2 linked regions of the Coturnix japonica genome follow. The protein of the gene in region 1 interacts with the protein of each later gene in a biochemical or structural test. Links are inferred from orthologs where the notes say so. Each region holds a gene or a part of one and is shown on either strand. Other genes may lie near its edges. The genes, in order: KSR1 and MARK3.

What was found.
Region 2: of the proteins of KSR1 (region 1) and MARK3, one has a biochemical effect on the other in vitro, tested with the Homo sapiens proteins (2 studies listed by BioGRID). The link is inferred for Coturnix japonica from reciprocal best matches to the Homo sapiens genes KSR1 and MARK3.

What each region holds. Positions count from the first base shown.
Region 1 is NC_029534.1:7,872,538-7,876,942, forward strand, and holds the start of KSR1 (kinase suppressor of Ras 1), read left to right. Parts: upstream 1-1,565; 5' UTR 1,566-2,415; coding exon 2,416-2,643; intron 2,644-4,405.
Region 2 is NC_029520.1:45,752,825-45,756,434, reverse strand, and holds the end of MARK3 (MAP/microtubule affinity-regulating kinase 3), read right to left. Parts: intron 1,810-3,610; coding exon 1,464-1,809; 3' UTR 713-1,463; downstream 1-712. UniProt on the Homo sapiens protein: Serine/threonine-protein kinase. Involved in the specific phosphorylation of microtubule-associated proteins for MAP2 and MAP4. Phosphorylates the microtubule-associated protein MAPT/TAU. Phosphorylates CDC25C on 'Ser-216'.

The sequences.
Region 1 (4,405 bases):
TCACTCCTGGTATCTCAGGTATCTCAGTATCACATCTGCTCAGCACTCCTGCTGTATGATACAGGCTGCAGCTTGGAGCACACCCCAGTTTGTGGTCCTCTGCTAAGGCAGATCTGGGGTTCACCTCAGCATAAGACAGTGGTTCCCCTGGATTAGTGTGAGCATCTCAGTGTTGCTGTGGGAGTCAAAGCAGCTAGCCTGGAAGAAAGCAACTCGCTTGTGTAACCCTCTTTCACAGAAGAGCACTCAGATATTCTCCATTTCTGCAAAGGTGACAGCCTCACCAACATGCAAGTGCTCAGCAGTGCTGAGCAGGGGCAGGAATTCATGGTAAGGAGTGTTAAGTCAGCATATTTTTCCATGCGGGCCTGGAGGGCAGTCTTGTACACTGGGACTGGAATGCTGCCCACTTACGGTAGCTGGTTAAGGAGCCCAGCACTCACAACACAGTACAGAAACATTCAGAAAGAATGCCAAATATCTTGTCATGCATAGCCCATAATTTTCCTGGTTTGTTTTCTTATGCAATAAACCTGGTTTGTTGTCTACTAGTAAATGGATGTTCTCAGGCAGGTATACAAAGAATGTTTATGATAATAATACTCCTGTTAATAACATTGCTAAATCCAGACACTTGTAATTCAAGACTTCAGTCTGTCACACTTCTATAAACTACAATTTTCAGTGCTAAACTTTCAGTGCTCCCAAGAGGAGGGGTGTAAAGACTTTTTCATTAAGTTGGAATGATGGAGGTAATAAAGCAAGTGACTTTTCCAAAACCACAGGATGTATCACATGGCAAACTAATTAAACCATAATCCAGCAAAGCCCTTTTTGTGTATGAAACCTGCAGCATGTGAAGAATAATGAAATCAAATACTCGGCCTTCTTAATACCTTCTTAAGAAAATTACTAAGCAGTGTACGTCACACTGCTTGATGCAAATACAGCCAAAGTAACATATACACTAGTATCCATCTAATCATGAGAAAACCAGCTGTGTCAGCTGATTTGCCCTGCTCCACTGCCTCATGTCCTATATCCACAGATCCTCCCCCCCTTTTTTTTATTTTGCATAAAACTCTGCTGTTGCCACACATAGCTCAGATATCATTCTGGCTTTTTAAACCTGCTGTCAATCTGATCCGTTGGAGGAAGTTATCTCCTGTCAGCAGAGCACAACTACATTGTCCTTCTGCATCTGTCATGTCAGATGAACAGCCCTCATTGTGCAGGCAGCTGGGTGGTCAGCTCTGTAGGGTTATGTCCCACGCTACTGCGATGCTCCGGGTGAGCCCAACAGATAGAACTTGCAGCCAATGCACCTGCTGTGCAGCTACCTGTGCCTGTGCCACTTTTCTAGAATTTCCACTGTGAAATATGAGCCCACAGTTGTTTCACAAGGCCATAATGAAGTTTTCTCCTATTTATGATATGAATAAACCCATATCACACTCAAGTGCTTGTAAGTTGTTTTTAATAACTCCCACCTCATGTGCCTTTGCTATGCAAACACTTATGCCAAAGAACACATGTATCTGATGGATTTATAGAACATCTGGGAAACCCTATTTTAGGAAAACACTCGATGGCCTTGGCAAGGGACTTGCTTATGGCCAGCACATGGTTTGTATCCATGTAACAGCAAAGAACCATGACAGCATCACTGAACTCTGCAACTCCTCACCCCACAGTGCAGAGCCCCAGTGACTCCAACTTTGCCATGGCCACGGCCGACACACCTGGAATCACCCAAGGGGCTTTTGTGGGATGATGCTGAGAGCATATAATATTGTTTGTATGCTATTTCTAAGCTCCGTTTTGGTTCTTTTGGCATTTGGTATCTGCAGACGCGAGGACTTGGCCGGACCCGATCCTCAGCAGGACAGTGCACCCATCAGCCCCAGCTCACACATCCCACAGGGCAGACTGGGCCAGGTCCGGTGTCACCCCTCTCCCTGTCTCTCAGTGTGCCGATGGTGAGGCTCATCCGGGGTGAGGTCCAAGTCCTGACGTACCTGCGGAGACCTGAGGGATTGTAAGGTGCGCTGAAAGCAGCAAGAAGCTGATGCGGGAGCTGCTGAGGCCGACACAGGGACGCTGAGGTGGGCTCAGGGATGGGCTCAGGGATGCTGAGGTGGGCGCTGAGGCGGGCATTGCTGAGGCGGGATCTGCTGAGGCGCTGAGGCGGAGCGACCGCCCGCGCCCCCTCGCGGAGTGGCCGCCATCTGCGCGGGGCGACCGCACCCGCGGTGCCGGCTCGTCGTGCCGCATGCTAATGCGCGGTAACTGCCCGGAGAGGAGAGGCGAGGCGGGGCGGAGCGAGCCGCCGCCTGCCCTCTCTCCCTCCCTCTTTCCCTGCCCGCCGCTCCCCCCGCCGTCGCCTCTCCTCCCCGGCCTCCCTGATGCCGAGGAATGGATAGAGCGGCTGCCCTGCGAGCCGCCGGCATGCTGGAGAGGAAGGAGCGGGGCGGCGAGGCGGCGGGGCCGGCCGTGCGGGGCTTGCCGGCCGTGCGGAGCACGCTGCAGCAGTGCGGGCTGCTCCAGGACCTCATCGACATCTCGCTGTCCAACCTGCGCGGGCTCCGCACTAAGTGCGCCGCGTCCAACGACCTCACCCAGCAGGAGATCCGCACCCTGGAGGTACGGGGCCGGGGGAGCCCCGCCGCCGGGATGCGCCGGTCCTGGGGCCGGGCCCTGCCTCCAGCGCCGGGCGCCGCGCTCCTTCACCGGTGCCCGGGCTGTGGGGAGGTGGTGGGAACCCCCTTCGTCTCTCCGCGGGCGCAGAGGGGTGCTGGGGGACGCGGAAGGGAAGCAGGAAGGGGGGTCGGCCACTTTCCCACGCAGGCTGCAGGGCCTCGCCGTCCTGCCGCGGTCCCCTCGGGCCGCTGGCATCGCGGCATCCCGCCGGCAGAGCGCGGTGCCGGTGCCCGTGGCGGGGGAAGGCTCGCCGGGGCCAGACAGGTGCGGGAGTCGCGGGCAGGCCGCGATGTGCCCCCGCCCCTCCGCGCTGCTGCTGCCCGGCTGCCGGCCTGACGCGGAATGGGCGCCTGGGGGGGGGAGGGGGCAGGTGCGGGGTGAGGCGGGGACCCGAGGTGCTTCCCGACCGCCTGGCAGAGATGAGACGCTGCATCCCTGGTCCCAGGATGCTGGATGCGCAGATGATTCCCGCCGGTCTCATGTTTGTTTCTGGTGGCTCCTGCTCTGTCCTTCCAGGCCTGTCTCTCTATCCCTGGCTCGGTTTCACTGAGCTAATCCGATCCTTCTTTCCACTCTGTTGGTGTGGCTGGCGGCAGCATTGCAGTTCAGGTTGGAGAGATGCTCTGCCGTTAAGAGAGGTTATACAGAATCCTTCAGGCAGAGAACGTGTGCTTCTGTGATGCTTTCCGACACGATCTGACTGTATGCATGAGTGTTTAGAAAGGAAATTCAGACTTGTTCCGTTTGTTTGACCTTATATACTGAAGTGCTTCCCTTTGCCTTGTGTGCAGGTAATGCCGCTCCAAGCAGAACACACAGTTTCCACCCAGACCCCTGCTTGGTCAGAAGCAGAGGCCAGTGCTCCTTTTCTCTAGTCCATTACTGGAGGCTGCAGAGCTGGAGCATCAGGCTCAAAGAAGGAAAATCCTTGTGAATCTATAACAAACATATATACTAGAAAATCCCTCACTTAAATGAAGCTAGGAAAAACAATAGGTGCCAACTCTCTGTATGGCCTCTCTTTGAAATCTATTGTTCTTTTTTCTCTCTTCCTCAGCCCTCCCTGCCCCCCCCCCCCCCCCCCCAAAAAAAAAAGAAAAAAAGTTGGTAGTTCTTTTTTTTTCCTGCCACCTCCAAATAGCCTTCAAAGGCTATTCTTTATAACACAGTACTTCTGTAGACTTCTGGCCACCTTGTTGTCATTTCAGTGCTCAAACAATGTAAATCACCATCAGTTTGGAAAACGATCATCAGTACTTTGCTGGTGGACTCATTCTGCAAGAAAACCTTTAATCATAGAGCCTAAAGGCCTGCTATCATCTTCAATTTGTTCTGATAGCAACAAAAAATGTTGCTAGTGATAACTATTGAGTATGTGTCTGCATTCCTTAAGCGATTATCTGCTTAAACCAATGGGTGCCACTTTTGCTGGTGATCATAAAATTTGTCCCTCATCAGAAAAATCTCTGATATACTCCCCAGTACGTGATTTCTCTGGGAATTCAACCAAGTGCTGAATCCCTGCCAGCCCATGAAGCTACGGGAATGGGCACGGACACTGCCCTTTGCTCTCTTCAGTTGCCTGTGCCTGAAGACATGATGTCATCAGGGGCTGAGTCTCCCACTTACTGACTCTGCACAGTCTGAAGAAGGTTTGTCTGCTGCTGCTGAGCGCAAAACTGGGCTGTAAGAGTTGAGGGTCTGT
Region 2 (3,610 bases), on another chromosome or scaffold:
AATATAACCATCAAACATTCACACAAAAAGTCAAGTAGATAACGCAGCGTTTTATCTACAGAAGTCCTCTGTGAAATGAACTGAGTATTCAGCAGGAAACAACGCTTGTAGGAAGCTCCTGGTTCCGCTCTGCCAGCCCAAATCCAGCTCAGCACAGCAGTGCTTTAAGAAGCAGGGACCATCCGACAGCAGCTCGGTGTCCTACAGAAACTAGCAGCCATCAGTGTCCGTCAGGGCAGGTTCCACACATAAGAGAACAGCGGACTCCTTCCTCAGCAGGATCTAGAGACACAGCCGGCATGAAGCCAGCAGCAAGGTGCCCAGAGCCAAGCGGGAGCATGCTGCAAGAGAGCTGCAAGGAAAGGTTTAGCTGCCACTGCCCATGGCTGTAGTTAAGCAAGCTGGATGTTACAACAGGGGACATCAGCAGCCAAATCTGACTCCCACTTTTGGGTTTCAGAAAACAAAGGAAAGCACTGCTGTGCCCGCAGCAATACTTTGGAGCAGCACAGGCTCATGTATGGTGATGTGCATCAGAACGTGGCTGCTGTTTGAGAGTCCTGTTGTGCTGTGATCAGGCTGGCCTAGTGCAAGGGGGAGAACTCTAAGAAGCCACAGGTCAGCACTCAGCACACAGCACTGCTCTGCAGGGGGACTGTGGAGCAACAGAAAAGTACTCAGAGCTGCAATCAAAACTCGTAAGCCAGAGGGATAAAGATACAGTTTTAGTAGCTCAGCAGAAGAATGGAAGCATTTACTCAAATTTTAATGCACAAATCAACTACATTATTAAAATCTGATTCGGACTTAAATAATAAATAGGTGGGCAAAACATAATGCAAGACTTACTGGGTAAAAGTGAATTTTTAATAATTTCATGAGCTCTACTTAGAAAACAGGACTAATAATGTTCACAACCGTAAATCCAAACCCTTCACACCCTTTTGTTCCTTAACACAGCAGTGAATTGTAAACCTGCGTTTACTGGTTATCTCTTCAGTTATTTTAAATATTGAACTCAAGTGTTTCCTCCTTGGCCATTTCAATTTTTAGCACCAAAATTAGCCCAAAAAGAGGTACTGGTACAGCTCCATGTGGTAAATGAATTGTTTACATATAATACTTTATATATTATACACACATACTGTACATTCACACGTCCACACAAACAGGAGGCATATTTAAATGAATATATTCTGTGTTTCAATTTGTTGTCAAAGACTTAGGAGCAATGGAAATAAAGCAGAAGGGGTAATATTTTACATAGTAGGCAACTTTAATGCTGTAGTGCACTTATAAAAAAGTCCAACTCTCCCTCCCAGCTCAGCAGCTTTGTTTTCTTTAATATCACTATTCAGAAGGATGCAGAAGTTATTGCCTAAATGTTATTCTATACATTTCCATCGGAATTCTCAAAACACTTGAAATTGCTAACTAATTTACAACTTAACTATTGTTTCTTGTTACAGCTTTAACTCATTGGCAATTTTGGAAGCAATGTTTTTAAAAGCTATGGATGTTCCCGATATCCGCTTAAAGCGAACTCCGTTCAGGGACAGTCTTGGCAGGTCACACACCTCCATTTCCCACTGCACGAGGTTTTCCGCGTGCCCATCTCCATGGACACAGAAAAGCAAGAAACGCTCTCTTTGTTCATAGTCACAATTATTGGCATCCAGGACCTTCCGGATCTCCCTCATCATGTCATTGGGATCCATGGAGCTGGTGGTTTTCATGCTCCATGTGAAACGCAGTGAGCGAGGCTTGGCTTCCTTGTTCTCATCCTTCTGATCCACGGCTACATTGCGGCTGGAAGAGAGCAATTCATCAGTCAGAAGGGTGAGATACTTCCATGGGACAGGTGTTAGCAAAGCAAACTCACGGGCAACACACACTACAAGAGCAATGTCTATGGGCCCTGGCAGCACCCCATCTCCCTCACTGCCGTACAGACACACAGTAAAGATAAAGCGTCAGCGTTCGGGGCTGAAACAAAGGTGAGGCTTGATGGGAGAAACAACTGGAGGTCACTGGAGTTGGGAGCGTGAGGGAAGTCACCTCACTGAGGAAAAACCACACACATCAGCTAGGATTCAGTTTTAAGTGTTGCTCCAAGCCCTACTCTTGGGCCACCTGCCACCCAGTTCTGGGCTGGACAGGTTTCACTCTATGAGACGTGCACAAAAGAACCACTGTATTGTAGGATACTGGGGATACCTTCAACAGGGAGGAAATATTCTGACTTTAAGCTGGTCAGTAATTTGGTTAATACCAATCAAGTAATGTGGTGAAGTCCTTTGCAGCTAGAATCTATTCATGTCCTGGAGACCAAAATGCAGGAAGGAGAGCTGGAAGTACTGACATGGTTAGTAAAGCAACCAGGGCAAGAGGGTTCCTATTACTGCCACAGTTCTAAAAGACAGCAAAAAATATGCCTTAGTACTTTCCATTTCCCAAATCTGCAAGGTTTTCTTTTTGTTTCTTTAAAGCTTTTCACTTGGTAAGGAGAAATAAGGTTATACAGGACAGTAAAAAACGATCCAGAAATTTCTAGTTCATAATGATGCCTCTACTTCCATAAAATCAGCAGTCACAGAGCTAAAGCATAAGGAGCTACATTTAAACCTTTAAGAAAAAAATGGGGCAGGTTTTCTTTTGGAAAGACTGCGTGCTGTCAGTCCTATCTTCAAACTTGTCCCCAGGGCAAGAGACTTTAATATACTGGCCACGATGCTTTAATATTTTCTGAAAACACATAACCTTGCTAACCCTAAACCACACAGTTTAGGTCTCGCGTTGAACTTCAAAGTTCAGTTTACAATTAAATTAAGCTCTTCTCTGAGATATTTGGCAGTGAATTTCTGCTTACACAACGCTTTCTTCCTTCTCCCACCATTAAGCAGGCAATTATGAAAAAGTTACATAAAAAGCAATGGCAAGGTCACAAAAAACCTATTGCAAAGATAACCTGTCTCGTAATTTTATATTCTATTATAATGACTCCCAGTAACTGCAAGAATAAAAGGATTATGCTGTCAAATCCAGCTGCATGATTTCTCAGATGCTACATACTCTTTGATTGCTGATGTATGTTGTAACTGTAAGGTTTTAATTTAATGAAGCTGCAGGAGCTGGCAAAAAGGATAGGGGGAGTAACATCAACTTTTATTCAGTGCCGACTTTAGAAAGCCTTTTCTACTTGAAAATGGTTGGCAGAATGAACACAAAGCCGATGGTTTCTAGTACTTTTAACACAAGGATTTGAGGAAGAGTTTAATATGGAAAACATTTGTGATTTTGGAGACAAAAGCACAACTTAACATCCTTCAGTGGTTATCCCACACATGTGCAGTCTCACTGGACACCACTTACCTACAGATCTACGAGACAACAGCAAATCATAAATACTAAGATGCAAAAAAACACACGAGGGAGAAGGCAACAGGAAAGATGGAAGTTTAGAAACAAGCCAGTCAGTGCTTTAGTAGCTGATCTGCAGACAGAAACGCTTCTTTGTTTAGTTTCACAGCCTTAAACAAAACAAAAGCTGCTGCCTGAAGCCACTGTGCCACATAATCAAGGGAAGAAAGGTTCAAACTCACCTAAATAA